3 linked regions of the Canis lupus familiaris genome follow. The protein of the gene in region 3 interacts with the protein of the main gene of each other region in a pairwise test. Links are inferred from orthologs where the notes say so. Each region holds a gene or a part of one and is shown on either strand. Other genes may lie near its edges.

Region 1 (4,080 bases), on a different chromosome or scaffold from region 3:
GATAAAGCATTAACCAAGCTGCAAAGGGGTATACCACTGGCCTCGTTCTAAGACTCGTCTGTTTCTAAGACCATCATTTCTGCTCTGTAACCTTTCTCCCAGGGTTTTAGATCTTAACTGCACGTTACTTTGAAGTATTTTGAGGCTCAAAACTAGGTGAAAAGCAGGTTTGATACTCATTTAAGTGGATGTGCTACTACCACAGATTTGAACCAAGGAATTACTACTTTCATCATAATATGACCAGAGAATTGTTTTGGAGATGAGCAGCAGTGACACAGCAAGGTCCAACAGAAGGCCAGTTGACACCCCAGGGAAACTCACTGAATGCTGGCCTCCAAACTCTTATCAATATGCCAGCAGCTGACTGTGTTCTGGGCTGCTGAGCTACTCTAACCGCTTATGAGCCTGACCCAAAGTTTCCAATGTCCTCATTTATAATCCAGGCTATAGCTACCCAATGACAAGAAAAGAAATGTCAAGAAGGTTCTCAGGCAAAGTGTAAGAACAAAAAGGATGGGCTGGTTTTTTCAGATTCCAACTAACTTTCTGGGCAAGTACCATGAAATATCCCTGCCTTATACCCAGCTGCTTTCTCAGGTCACCCAAATTAGCTCCTGTCAGGGGCCCTCTCCTTTGGATAGTACTGGATTAAGAATGAGCCCTCCTGTTCTCTCTCCTTTTCTAGACTCTTTGCAGATTCCATCCTTGAAATATTCTTTTAACAGTATTGTTAATAATTGCCAAGATTATAGCAGGTTCAACCTTACTCACAAAGTCAGATTACAGCCTTCCATATTAATGCAACAGACCAGGTTATAATTTTAGCAGCCCCCATATAATTGATTATATTCTCCCCAGGCATCTAGTTACAGATTGTTGTTTAGCATCTGCTACTTCTAAGGATGGCTGATTACATCACTACCCATCATTTCATTTCTTTCCAATCTTCCTGTCATCTCCTAGAAACTGAGCATAGAAGAAATCTTTAAGAGTATCCACATTAGTGTTTTTCAAACTTTAAAAAAAAAAAAAAAGTAACAGAGCCCTTTTCTTTCTCTGGGGGTGGGGGGTAATCCCTCAACACATATATATGTATACATATACGTATATGCATCTATACACACATATATAGATGTGTATACACTCTTTTATATATATTACATATATACGTATACATGTGTATATATACACACACACATATATACGTGTATACACTCATATATAAAAGAAACAAAGGACTTCTTTTGGTTAAAGTAGGGGTTTCTTTGACATACATCTTCCCTTCTATGGCCATCCCAGTATATTTTGGAACAGTCTGAAAAATCACCATCTCAGATCAACCCCTTATCTTAAAATTGAGAAAACAGATCTAGAAAACTGAACTGACTTGGAGATATTATGACAGCCGCAGCTGGCAGAGCTGGTCCGTCATATTCCATGAAACACTGGGTGAAAAAGTAGGTGAGAAGCCCCAGTCCAAATCACATGGTTTCTTTTATAGCAATGATGTTACCAGTATAAACACGCTGGGGTTATTTGTGTGCTAGATAAAAGGCATCTGCTACAGTATAAAAAAGCACATTCAGATTTGCTTATCCAGCCGTGGGTAAAAGAAATCTTTCTGCAGGAAATATGTAGGCTTTTTCAGATACAGAGACATCACAAGAAACTATCAGAAGGATCAACCAGGTTTGGGAAGGAAAACAACGGCAGGTAGATCTGGCTTACTCTGCCAAAGGTTCCTGTTCCTAATTCCAATGCCAGGTCCAATTGGGCCTCTCATTTCAAACTTAGACCGCTCTTTTTTCCTACTACAAGCGGGCTTTTTCATGCCCCCACTCACTACGTACCCGAGACTCAATCATCCAATAACCCAGTGCATTAGTACGGGCGACCCTAGGTTTTTCCCTACTGGACCAAATAAAACCTCAGGATGTTTCCCAGGATCCTCATCCCCGAATTAACCATCCTCCGGGGCCGGCGCAGGATCTCCGTGCGAAGACTGCCAATTCCATTCGGAGCCAATGGATAAACACGGAGCAACAAGAAGAGATGCAGCAGAACCTGGCCGAGGCGATCCTCCTGGACTCGCTTGGGCTTTACGGAGAAGAGCGGGCAACCCGGGAAGACGGGCGCGGACCAGGTGAACTCGGTTTCCTCATGAGAAGGAGGGCGGTGTCGGGCCTTGGGATCCCACGACGAGGAGGGGGTTCTTCTAACCGGAGGTGGAGTTGCTCCTCTTCACCTGGGGTGCCCGCGCCCCACTTTCGCCTCCCCCGCCTACCTTCTTACAAGGGGGAGGCAGGCGATGATGAGACAGACAGAAGCCCGCGCGCGCCGAGCAGAGGCAGCCGCCGTCGGTCCGGGGGAGGCCGGGGCCCAGGCCAGGCTCGGGGCACAGGGGCACAGGGGCCCAGGGGCCCAGGGGCCCAGGGGCAGCAGCGCGGTGCAGCCCCACCTCCCGCCTTCGGAGGCAAACGGCCCCGCGTCCAGACAGTTTAGAACCTGCCTGCTGAGCCCCGACGAGCCGCTCTGGGCACCGCACCTGTCCTTCCACGCTCACAACCGTCCGCGCCTCCCCATCCCTCCCCGCGGCAGGTCACAGCCGACCCTCCCGCCTGACCTTGGGGACGCGGCAGCCTCGCGCCCCGGCCCCGCAGGACGCCGATGGGGGCTCGTCCCTCGGACCCGACCGTCCTCCCATCCCCCCACCCTCCTAAATTTAGGACAGGCGGGCTTTAGGGCCACTGCCTCTCTCCCGGGGCCGTTCAGGCTGCGTTCCAAGTAGGGAGGCCCGGGGGGGGGGGACCCGGCGAGTGACCCCTCCGGCACCGCGGGGACCAGGTCCTGGCGCATCCCTCCTCCTGCCCCGGCTGCTCCCCGCCCCCTCCCGGGCCGCTCGGCACCCAGGGGCACAGTCGCAGCGCCCACGCCCGCTCGGACCCCCCGCCCCGCGCGCCCTCGGCTCAGCCCCCGCCAAGGGCTGGGGAGGAAGGGGGTCCCCGCGGTCTCACCTGGGGCGGAGGCGCTCGCTCATGGCAGCCGGTGGAGGGGAGCGACGCGGGGCCGCGCCGCGAGCCGAGGGAACCGACGGGGCTGCGCTGCGGCGGCCGCCACGCCCACCCCCTCGGGCCTTGGCTCTGGCCGCGGCGCGGGTGGACGCTGCCGGCGGCGCGTACCCCTCGGTGGGACCCGTACCGCCGCGACTTCCGGCGTCCGCTCCGCGCCCCCCCATGTCGCGGCCGCCGTGGTACCGCCCTCTCGCGCCTGCGCACTGGCGCGAGCCCGGCCGCGCCGACCGGTAACCCCGCCCCCAGGAAGAGGCGGGCCCCGAGCGGGGCGGGGCCGCCCGGAGCTCCTGCGGGGGCGGGGAGGGCCTCGGGAGAGGCGGCCTCGGCTTTCGCCTGTTCGCAGCCGAGCGGCCACGCCGCCGCAGTCAGCCCAGGTGCAAACCGGACTAAATGGTGTCCTCATAATACGGCGCGGGGACCTGAGTTAGGCCCCTGTGCGCGGACGGGGCTTTTGAAAGCACGGCTGGGAGGCGTCAGGCAGTGACGCGGGCGGCCCGCGGCGGGGTCCTGCACGGCTGAGGCCGCGGCTCGGGGCGGGGGCCGGGGGCCGGGGGCGCGGGCGCGGGGGCTTCCGGAACGCCGCACCTGGCCAGGTGAGGACGCCGCTCGGGGCGGGCGGGGCGGGGCGCGGCCGGTCGGGCTGTGTCCAGCGGCCCACGGCCCGTGTCGGGGGGGACGGGGACTCGGTCGGGGGGCGGGCGAGCCCCTTCGGCGTCCGTGCGGCTCCGGCGGGCCCCGCCCCCTCGGGGGAAGCGGCGGCTCGGCTTCCGGAAACGGTGAGGGAGCGGGGGGCGGGGCGGGGAGGGGCGGGGCGGGGACCGCGGCGGGGAGGGGAGGGGAGGGGAGGCGGGGCGGGGACCGCGGCGGGGAGGGGGGGGCGGGGCGGGGACCGCGGCGGGGAGGGGGAGGGGGGAGCGGGGCGGGGCGGGGCGGGGACTGGGGAGGGGAGGGGAGGGGCGGCGGGGAGGGGAGGGGGGGCGGGGCGGGGACCGCGGCGGGGACGGGG
Region 2 (4,169 bases), on a different chromosome or scaffold from region 3:
CATTGCTCTTCTAATAAAGTCTAAATATTTTGGGTAATATTACAGAGAAATTTACTGTACTGTTCTCTCATCACATTTGAGTGATTTGAAAAATATCACTCTAGGGGCAGCCAGGGTGGCTTAGGGGTTTAGCACTGCCTTCGGCCCAGGGTGTGATCCTGGAGCCCCGGGATCAAGTCCCACATCAGGCTCCCTGCATGGAGCCTGCTTCTCCCTCTGCCTGTGTCTCTGCCTCTCTCTCTGTGTATCTCTCATGAATAAATAAATAAAATCTTAAAAAAAAAAAAAAAGAAAAATATCACTCTAAAGCTTTAAGAAAAAGAGAAAAAAAGCCGGTCCCAAATCCTTAAAATTGCCTAAAAGACCTGGCATCATCTCTTTTTCCCCCTACTGCATTCTACATTCAAATCAACTGGGGATCCCTGGGTGGCGCAGCAGTTTAGCGCCTGCCTTTGGCCCAGGGCATGATCCTGGGGACCCGGGATCGAATCCCACGTTGGGCTCCCGGTGCATGGAGCCTGGTTCTCCCTCTGCCTGTGTCTCTGCCTCTCTCTATCTCTCTGTGTGTGACTATCATAAAAAATAAAAAATTAAAAAAAAAATCAACTGCTTTGACCTTTCAGTTCTATATATTTCCCTAACCTCCCTCTGGGGAACCTGTTTCCTTTGCCAAGCAGGACCTTTCTTCCCTCCTTTGGGAGTCACCTTTAACTAATTCCTATTTATCCATACCATCTTAGCTGGATGATTACTTTCCTAAGATTACTTGAACTGATTTCCCCAGCTGGTTATCCCCTTTGTTATGCGTTCTCACAATATACTATATTCTTCCTTTTTAAGCTTTTATTTAGGTTTACTGGCATTTACAGTTGATCCTTGAACAATACAGGTTTGAACTATGCAGGTTCACTTAGATGAAGTGCACTTTTTTCTATACAAGACATTACTGTAAGTGTATTTTCTCTTCCTTATGATTTTCTTCCTAATATTTTTTCTCTAGCTTACTTTATTGTAAGCACAAATCATAATATATGTAACATACCAAATACGTGTTGTTTAAGGCTTTTGGTCAACAGTAGGCTCTAAGTAGTGAAATTTTGGGGAAATCAGAATTCATACACAGATTTCCCACTGTGTGGGGGTTGGCATCCCTAACACTCCCACCGTTGTTCAAGGGTCAACTGATAAGACTTGTGTGATTAGTTGTTCAATTGGTTCCCTCCAATAACAATGTAAAGTCCATAAGGCAAACTCTATATGGGTCAAAAAAAAAAAAAACAGAAAATCTTTAAGGGATATTACCATGGTACGGTGGGCACTCATCAAAGTGTCATACTTTACAGTTCCACACTGACATCAATAGTTTCCTATCTTTATTTTCCATTATCCCAAATTATGTGTACTAAGGAATTAGTGTTGGAGGCCACCCTAACGTTCCTTATTGCTAATAAGAAACCGCGAACAAAAAAAAAAGACGCGCGCACACAAATATTAAACATGGGAAACAGCGAACACGAAACCTACAAAAAAGAGTGTCATGGAAGGACTGGTGATGAAGCTACCTGAGAAATGGCCACCCCAAACAAACGCGCCTGGTGTTTCTGCACAGTGCTCCTGCAGCACACGCCTTTGGAAATGCGGGCAGGGGCACCTGGGTGGCTCAGGTCCCGATCTCGGGGTCCTGGGATCGAGTCCCGCCTCGGCTCCCCTCCCCTTAGGGACGCTGCTTCTCCCTCTGCCTATGTCTCTGCCTCTCTGTGTCTCTCGTCAAGAAATGAAATAAAAAATAAAATAAAATAAAATAAAATAAAATAAAATAAAATAAAATAAAATGAGAAAAGAGAAAAATGCGGGCATTTTGAGTGCGCCCGCCTCGAAGTTTCCGAGCGCCCCTGGAGCGGAAGCCCTCTGCGGTGCCTGCACCGAGCTCCCACGCACGAAGCTGGCGCAGGCTGCAGGCCCGAGCCGGGGCTCACCTGAGGGGCCGGGGGTCTCGCCGCCGCCGCCGGGGACACCGACACCGCCGGGACCCGGGGCTCAGCCGAACGGAAACCGACTTCAGGGCTGAGCCCGGGCGCGCCCCAGCGCGCCCCGCCCGCCCCCGCCCCCGCCGGCCAGCGCGCGTCCCGGCGCCTCACCCCGCCGAACCGGGCACGGCCCCGGCGCACTCACCTCCGGGCGCGGTCGCCTCGCGGCCTGGTCCTCGGTTGGCTCCGACACCGCGGGCGCCGCCGCCGCCGCCGGGCTGGAGCCCCCCTCACGCGGGGTGGGGTGAGGGGGCGCCACCGCCCTCAGACCCGCGGAGGCTCGCGGGCCCGCGCCGCCGGGACCCGGCCCTCCCGCCTGCGTCTCCGCCTCGCGGCCGCCGCCGGCCGCCGAGCGCGCTCACCGCAGGCTCCGCGCGGACCCGAGAGCGCGCGCGGGGCTGGGGGCGGGGGGGCGGGGGGGCGGGGCCGGCCGGCGCCTCGGCTCCGGCGCGCGCGCTAATGGCGGCTGCCTGGTCCCTGCCGCCGGCGACGCCGCGGGCTGCCTTCTCACCCCGCGCCGAAAATGCTGGGAGCGAGGAGTGGGCTCCCCTAGGAACCCCGCGTCTACCGACCTCCTCTTCAGCCTCCCACGGAGTCGGCGGACGGCTTTCCCCGCATTCTGACAACGTTGAACTTACCGCGAGCCGCGTGATTCTGGAATCCCCGCCGCCGCGCCCGTCCGCGCCCCGGGAGGGTTCCCTGCGGGGGCCGCCTTCCAGGTGTAGCTCGGCGGTGGCTCACGCGGGCCCCCCTGTTCACCCACGGCCGTCGGCCACGGCGGCCCAGTTCCGCTCTTCGTTCTTGCCTCGCGCGGCCAGGTGGAGCGGCGGCCCTCGCCCCCCAGGCTGGGGGGATCCGGGCCACGGAGATTTGACCACGCCTGAGTTACGCCGCTCCGCCACGGGCACGAGTCCGACGCGCACTCACCCGCCCGAGGCTCACCTCCGCGTGCGGCGCTGCCCTCGCTGCCACCCTCACAAGTCCCTCACATACAGTTCTTTCTAGTCTTTGTTCACCTCTCCCTGTGAGAAGCGAGCCTTTTTTTTTTTTTTTTTTTTTTTTGCCTGACCTTGGAGCCCGTGGCACATCTCCCGGTCAGAGTTCCCTCTCGCTCTCCGCACCCCATTGGAGGGGTCCTTTTCCCTCTTCTTCCCAACTCATGAAGCGACCCTAGTCTAGGTACCTCATCCAGGTGCAGTCATGCACTAGTTGTCCTTTGGTGCCTGCCCTCATTTCACTTAGCATTATGTTTTCAAGGTTCATCCATGTTGGAGCAGGTATCAAAATTTCTTTTTTTCAAAGGTTTTTAAAATTTATTTATTTGCTTATTTACTTATTTATTTTTGAGAATGAGCAGGGGGAGGGGCTGAGAGAGGGAGGGGCAGACGGAGGGAGAAGCTGAGTCCCTCCGGAGCTGGAAGCCCGACCTGAGGCTCTAACCCAGGGACAAGGGCAAACTCAGACGCAAAACTGACTGAGCTACCCAGGCGCCCCAGAATTTATTCTTTTTTATGCTGAAAAGCATGTCGTCGTTGTATAGATCATTTTTTTGTTTATCCACTCATCTGCTGATGGACATTTGGATTGTTCCCACGTTTTGGCCATTGTGAAAAATGGGGCTGTGAGCATCTGTGTATAAGTAATTCTCTTCCTTCTGATTATTTTGTATATATCTAGATGCGGAATTGCTGGGTCACATGGGGTGTGACTTTTTGAGGACCTGCGAAGCTGTTTTCCACAATCAGTACAGCATCTTTTTTTTTTTTTTTTTTTTTTAAGATCTTATTTATTCATGAGAGGCACAGAGAGAGGCAGAGACATAGGCAGAGGGAGAAGCGGGCTCCTTGCAGGGAGCGGGATGTGAGACTCCAGCCTGTTACCTGGATCACGCCCTAAGCCAAAGGCAGATACTCAACTGCTGAGCCACCCAGGCATCCCTGAGTACAGCATCTTAATATTCCCTTCAAAAAAAAAAAAAAAAAAAAAAAAAAAAAATATTCCCTTCAGCAATGCACAAGTATTCAGGTCTCTCCTTGTATCCTGGACAGCACTTACTATTTTCCATCATTAGGATGTTTTTTTTTTAGTAGCCATCCTAATGGGTGTGAAGTGGTTGGCATTCATTGTGGGTTTTTTAAAAAA
Region 3 (3,643 bases):
ATCTGAAGAATTTCCAAGCGTCCTGTAGCATCAGGGATTCCAATATCTACCTCCCTGTCAAAGCGACCTGCAGAACAGGGTGTGAACATAGACAGGGCTCATTTCTGGGCTACAGGAAAGAAGGGACAGGTCTCACATGACCAATCATCCCTGTCTGTCCAGGACTCTCCTGGTGTTAGCACTGAAAGTTCCAAGTTCTAGAAAATCCCTCAGTTTCAGACAAACCAGGATGGTTTGTCACTATAGATAGGACACGAGATAAGGGAAAGGACCCTTGGGCCCTATCACTGCAAGGAGCTTCAAGAAATCCTCAGATTAGGACTAAGATGAAGAACAGAATCTCTTAAAAGAGATTAAGCTTAGTAGAGCTATAGATTCCCTATGAGCAAGAACAGGGTCGGAAGAAATTTGAGGTCCTTACCAAATCGCCGAAGGGCTGGGTCAATGCTATTGGGTCTGTTGGTTGCTGCCATGACAATCACATGTGCTCTCTGCTTTAGGCCATCCATAAGGGTCAACAACTGTGATACAATACGCCTTTCCACCTCCCCATGGGTCTGTCAGGACAGGATGTCTGGTCAGAAGTGAAGTGAGGACCTTTTAACCCCCACTATCCCCTTGGGCAAGTTCCTACTTTCTCTCTTTTGGGAGCGATGGCATCTAGCTCATCAATGAAGATGATAGCCGGAGCATTCTTCTCAGCCTCCTCAAAGGCTTTACGAAGGTTGCTCTCAGACTCACCAGCCAACTTGCTCATGATCTCAGGACCTGAAAGGATACAGAATAGAAACAATGACAAAAATACATCCTTCCCTCAATCCCAAGATAAATCAGATCTCTTATCTGGCTGGTCCAGAAACAGGTGCTATGTAAACATGTGGTAACCTCTGCCTACTTTCTCACAGACTCTCCCAGATACTATCCCAGGATAGGCACAAACTAGGCTGGAGGGAAACCACAAGGAACTCACACCTATCTCAGTCAAGCTCTAAATGTCAAGATGCCAGCACATGCCCTGGACCCTCAGGCCAGGGCAAGAGAACCAGCATACCAGATGGACCTCTATCATTTTCAAAGAGGCAGCTAATGTCAATCTTCCCCCAAACCCTCTCAAATAAACTAGCAGACAAAATTTTTGAGTTCTCATTCTAACTTGCTACCCCTAAATGTCTTCAGCCTTTCTCTCTCAAGGGAGGATAGATCAGGGACACCAGAGTACAATACCTTCCCCTTGTTGCTTATCTGTCCACAATGTAACCCAGCAGAAGAAAGATGATGAAATATACATGAGGGTATGTATGCAAATAAATGTGTCCGTGAGTTCTCCAGCTCGTGAGACTGGATCATGCTCAGCTCAGTGTAAGATCCAGCCAAATACAAGGTGAACCAATTCTCCTACCATTGATTAAGAAGAAGAAGGCTCCAGTCTCATTTGCCACAGCTCGGGCAATTAGGGTCTTCCCAGTTCCAGGAGGTCCATAGAGCAAGATTCCCCGAGGAGGCTAAGGACCAGTACAGAGAGAGTGATTAGGTTCAGACTCCTACCTTCTCCCAACTCCACCCACTCTAAAATGGTTTGAATGTGGCTCTATCTAGATAGAGAGTGAGAATCAGTTTTGAGCCCTCAGCATAAACTACTAAGAAAGTTTACTTCAGGCCATACTCACTCCTCTTATTAGCAGAAAACTGACATTTATTTTATTTTATTTCATTTTTCTAAGATTTTATTTATTCATGAGAGGTATATATAGAGAGGCAGAGACACAGGCAGAGGGAAAAAGAAGCAGGCTCCATGCAGGGAGCCCGATGTGGGACTCGATCTTGGAACTGCGGGGTCACGCCCTGGGCTGAAGGCAAACGCTAAACTGCTGAGCCACCCAGGGATCCCTAGAAAACTGACATTTATGATTATACCTTGGCATAGGAGACTAAGAGCACAGAAACCACCCTAAGAAACTCTAGTATGGCTAAGTCTGAAGATCCTGGGACTACAAAAAAGCAAGAGGCCAATAGGCCAAGGTTTTGACTTTGGACAGACAAGGGCCAGGACTAGTTTTTAGCTATCTAAGGAAGAGTATTGCCACAGGCTCACTCATTCCAATAATCACAACCCTCTAGGATCTATCATATTTGAATGCTTTTCCTTACCACCAACAACCACAAGTTTTTCTCTTTGAAGCTGTCTTTTTTATGGCCTATCCACAGGCTGCACATGGGAAATGCCCATATAGAAGATAAAATTATTTGTATGGTACATACTAGAGAAGAGGGTAATTTCATCTTCACTGTGCCCATGATATGGAACAGTTAGGAAGTCACATTGTAGGTCTGCAGTTCTCACATGTTTTGGATTCAGGACCCTTCACACACTGCAAATTTCCTTAAACTTTTCTTGGGTGACATTGTTACATACAGGTAGGCAACTATGATGAGATTTGTTTTTATAGGGTCCGTGAGATAAAAATGGTTTTTACATTTTTAAATAACCATAATATAAAAAATAATGCAACAAGAATTGACCCGAGTCTTTGTTAATTACCAGCCTACATTATGTCCCAGGATACTCACCTTAACACCAATCGCCTTAAAGAGAGCAGGATGTCTGAGAGGTAGCTCCACCATCTCCTTTATCTGAGCCAGCTGTTTCCTGCAGCCACCAATATCATCATAGCCTACTTCATTCAAGGACTCTTCCTCATCCTGAATACAGAGAAGACAAAGAAAAAAAAAAAAGGCAGGAATATTATTATTATTAGCAAAAGTTGAGTTTCGCCAAATCCTTCTACAATCTGGTATAGAGAAACCTATTTTACGAGAGGATTCTCCTCTAAGGGGGATCCTGACTCAAAGAACAATTCTAAAAATCCCAAAGCAAAGATTTTCAGCATAGTCTTTCCCTTTTACACTGCCCTTAGTATTACTGGAAAGAACCACCCTAAGACTAAAGCTAGAAACTGGGAAACAGACAGAGGTCTGGATGCCATCATCAATGTCACTTCTACAAAAATTATTCCAACCACTTAGATCTTTTGAGTTCAATCTGGATTTTAAAAATTACTGGTATCATATACTTCTAGAAACACACAGGCCCAGAAATGAATAGTTGAAACATTTTCACAACCTCTGGAAAAAAGCTTAGTTCCAAAGAGCACTCAGTTTTATTTTTAATAGAGGAAGACAGAGATGGGTGGGAGCAGGGGCGGAGGGAGCAGGCTACAGAGCGAAAGGGAGAGAATCTTAAGCAGGCTCCAGACCTAGTATGGAGCCCAAAACAGGGCTCAACCTCACAACCCTGAGATTATGACCGGAGTTGAAATCAAGAGTCAGATGCTTAACCAACTGAGCCACCCAGGTGCCCCCAAAGAGCACTCACAGTTAGTAGTTACCATATGACCGCCCCACTTTGTAATCATGAAATTGGGTACTGGGATAAAGGAGAGAACTCACCTCTCGTTTGATAGGCTCCCCTTCACAGTGGATCACTGTGTCTGGGGCAACAATGCAGTAAGGACTGGGATCTGTCTCCACTACTTTGAACTCTACAGCACGCATTCCACCCCGGACAAGGAAAATGTCTCCTGTGAGAGTAATTAGCACAAGTGCAGTCAGAGATGTCAAATACCAGAGCAAGTGAGAGTTCCTC

Evidence for each region.
Region 1: the proteins of VCP (region 3) and FAM104A interact in binary tests that used the Homo sapiens proteins (3 or more experiments, as listed by UniProt). The link is inferred for Canis lupus familiaris from reciprocal best matches to the Homo sapiens genes VCP and VCF1.
Region 2: the proteins of VCP (region 3) and UBXN2A interact in binary tests that used the Homo sapiens proteins (3 or more experiments, as listed by UniProt). The link is inferred for Canis lupus familiaris from reciprocal best matches to the Homo sapiens genes VCP and UBXN2A.

The regions. Positions count from the first base shown.
Region 1 is NC_049230.1:7,824,749-7,828,828, reverse strand, and holds the start of FAM104A (protein FAM104A), read right to left. Parts: upstream 2,875-4,080; 5' UTR 2,860-2,874; coding exon 2,627-2,859; intron 2,282-2,626; exon of another isoform or gene 2,019-2,281; coding exon of another isoform or gene 1,969-2,018; intron 1-1,968.
Region 2 is NC_049238.1:18,506,676-18,510,844, reverse strand, and holds the start of UBXN2A (UBX domain-containing protein 2A), read right to left. Parts: upstream 2,875-4,169; 5' UTR 2,666-2,874; intron 2,321-2,665; exon of another isoform or gene 2,173-2,320; intron 1,995-2,172; exon of another isoform or gene 1,977-1,994; intron 1-1,976. UniProt on the Homo sapiens protein: Acts to repress the ubiquitination and subsequent endoplasmic reticulum-associated degradation of CHRNA3 by the STUB1-VCP-UBXN2A complex in cortical neurons.
Region 3 is NC_049232.1:51,938,202-51,941,844, forward strand, and holds part of VCP (transitional endoplasmic reticulum ATPase), read right to left. Parts: intron 3,579-3,643; coding exon 3,448-3,578; intron 2,701-3,447; coding exon 2,569-2,700; intron 1,503-2,568; coding exon 1,400-1,502; intron 769-1,399; coding exon 635-768; intron 558-634; coding exon 422-557; intron 68-421; coding exon 1-67. UniProt on the Homo sapiens protein: Necessary for the fragmentation of Golgi stacks during mitosis and for their reassembly after mitosis. Involved in the formation of the transitional endoplasmic reticulum (tER).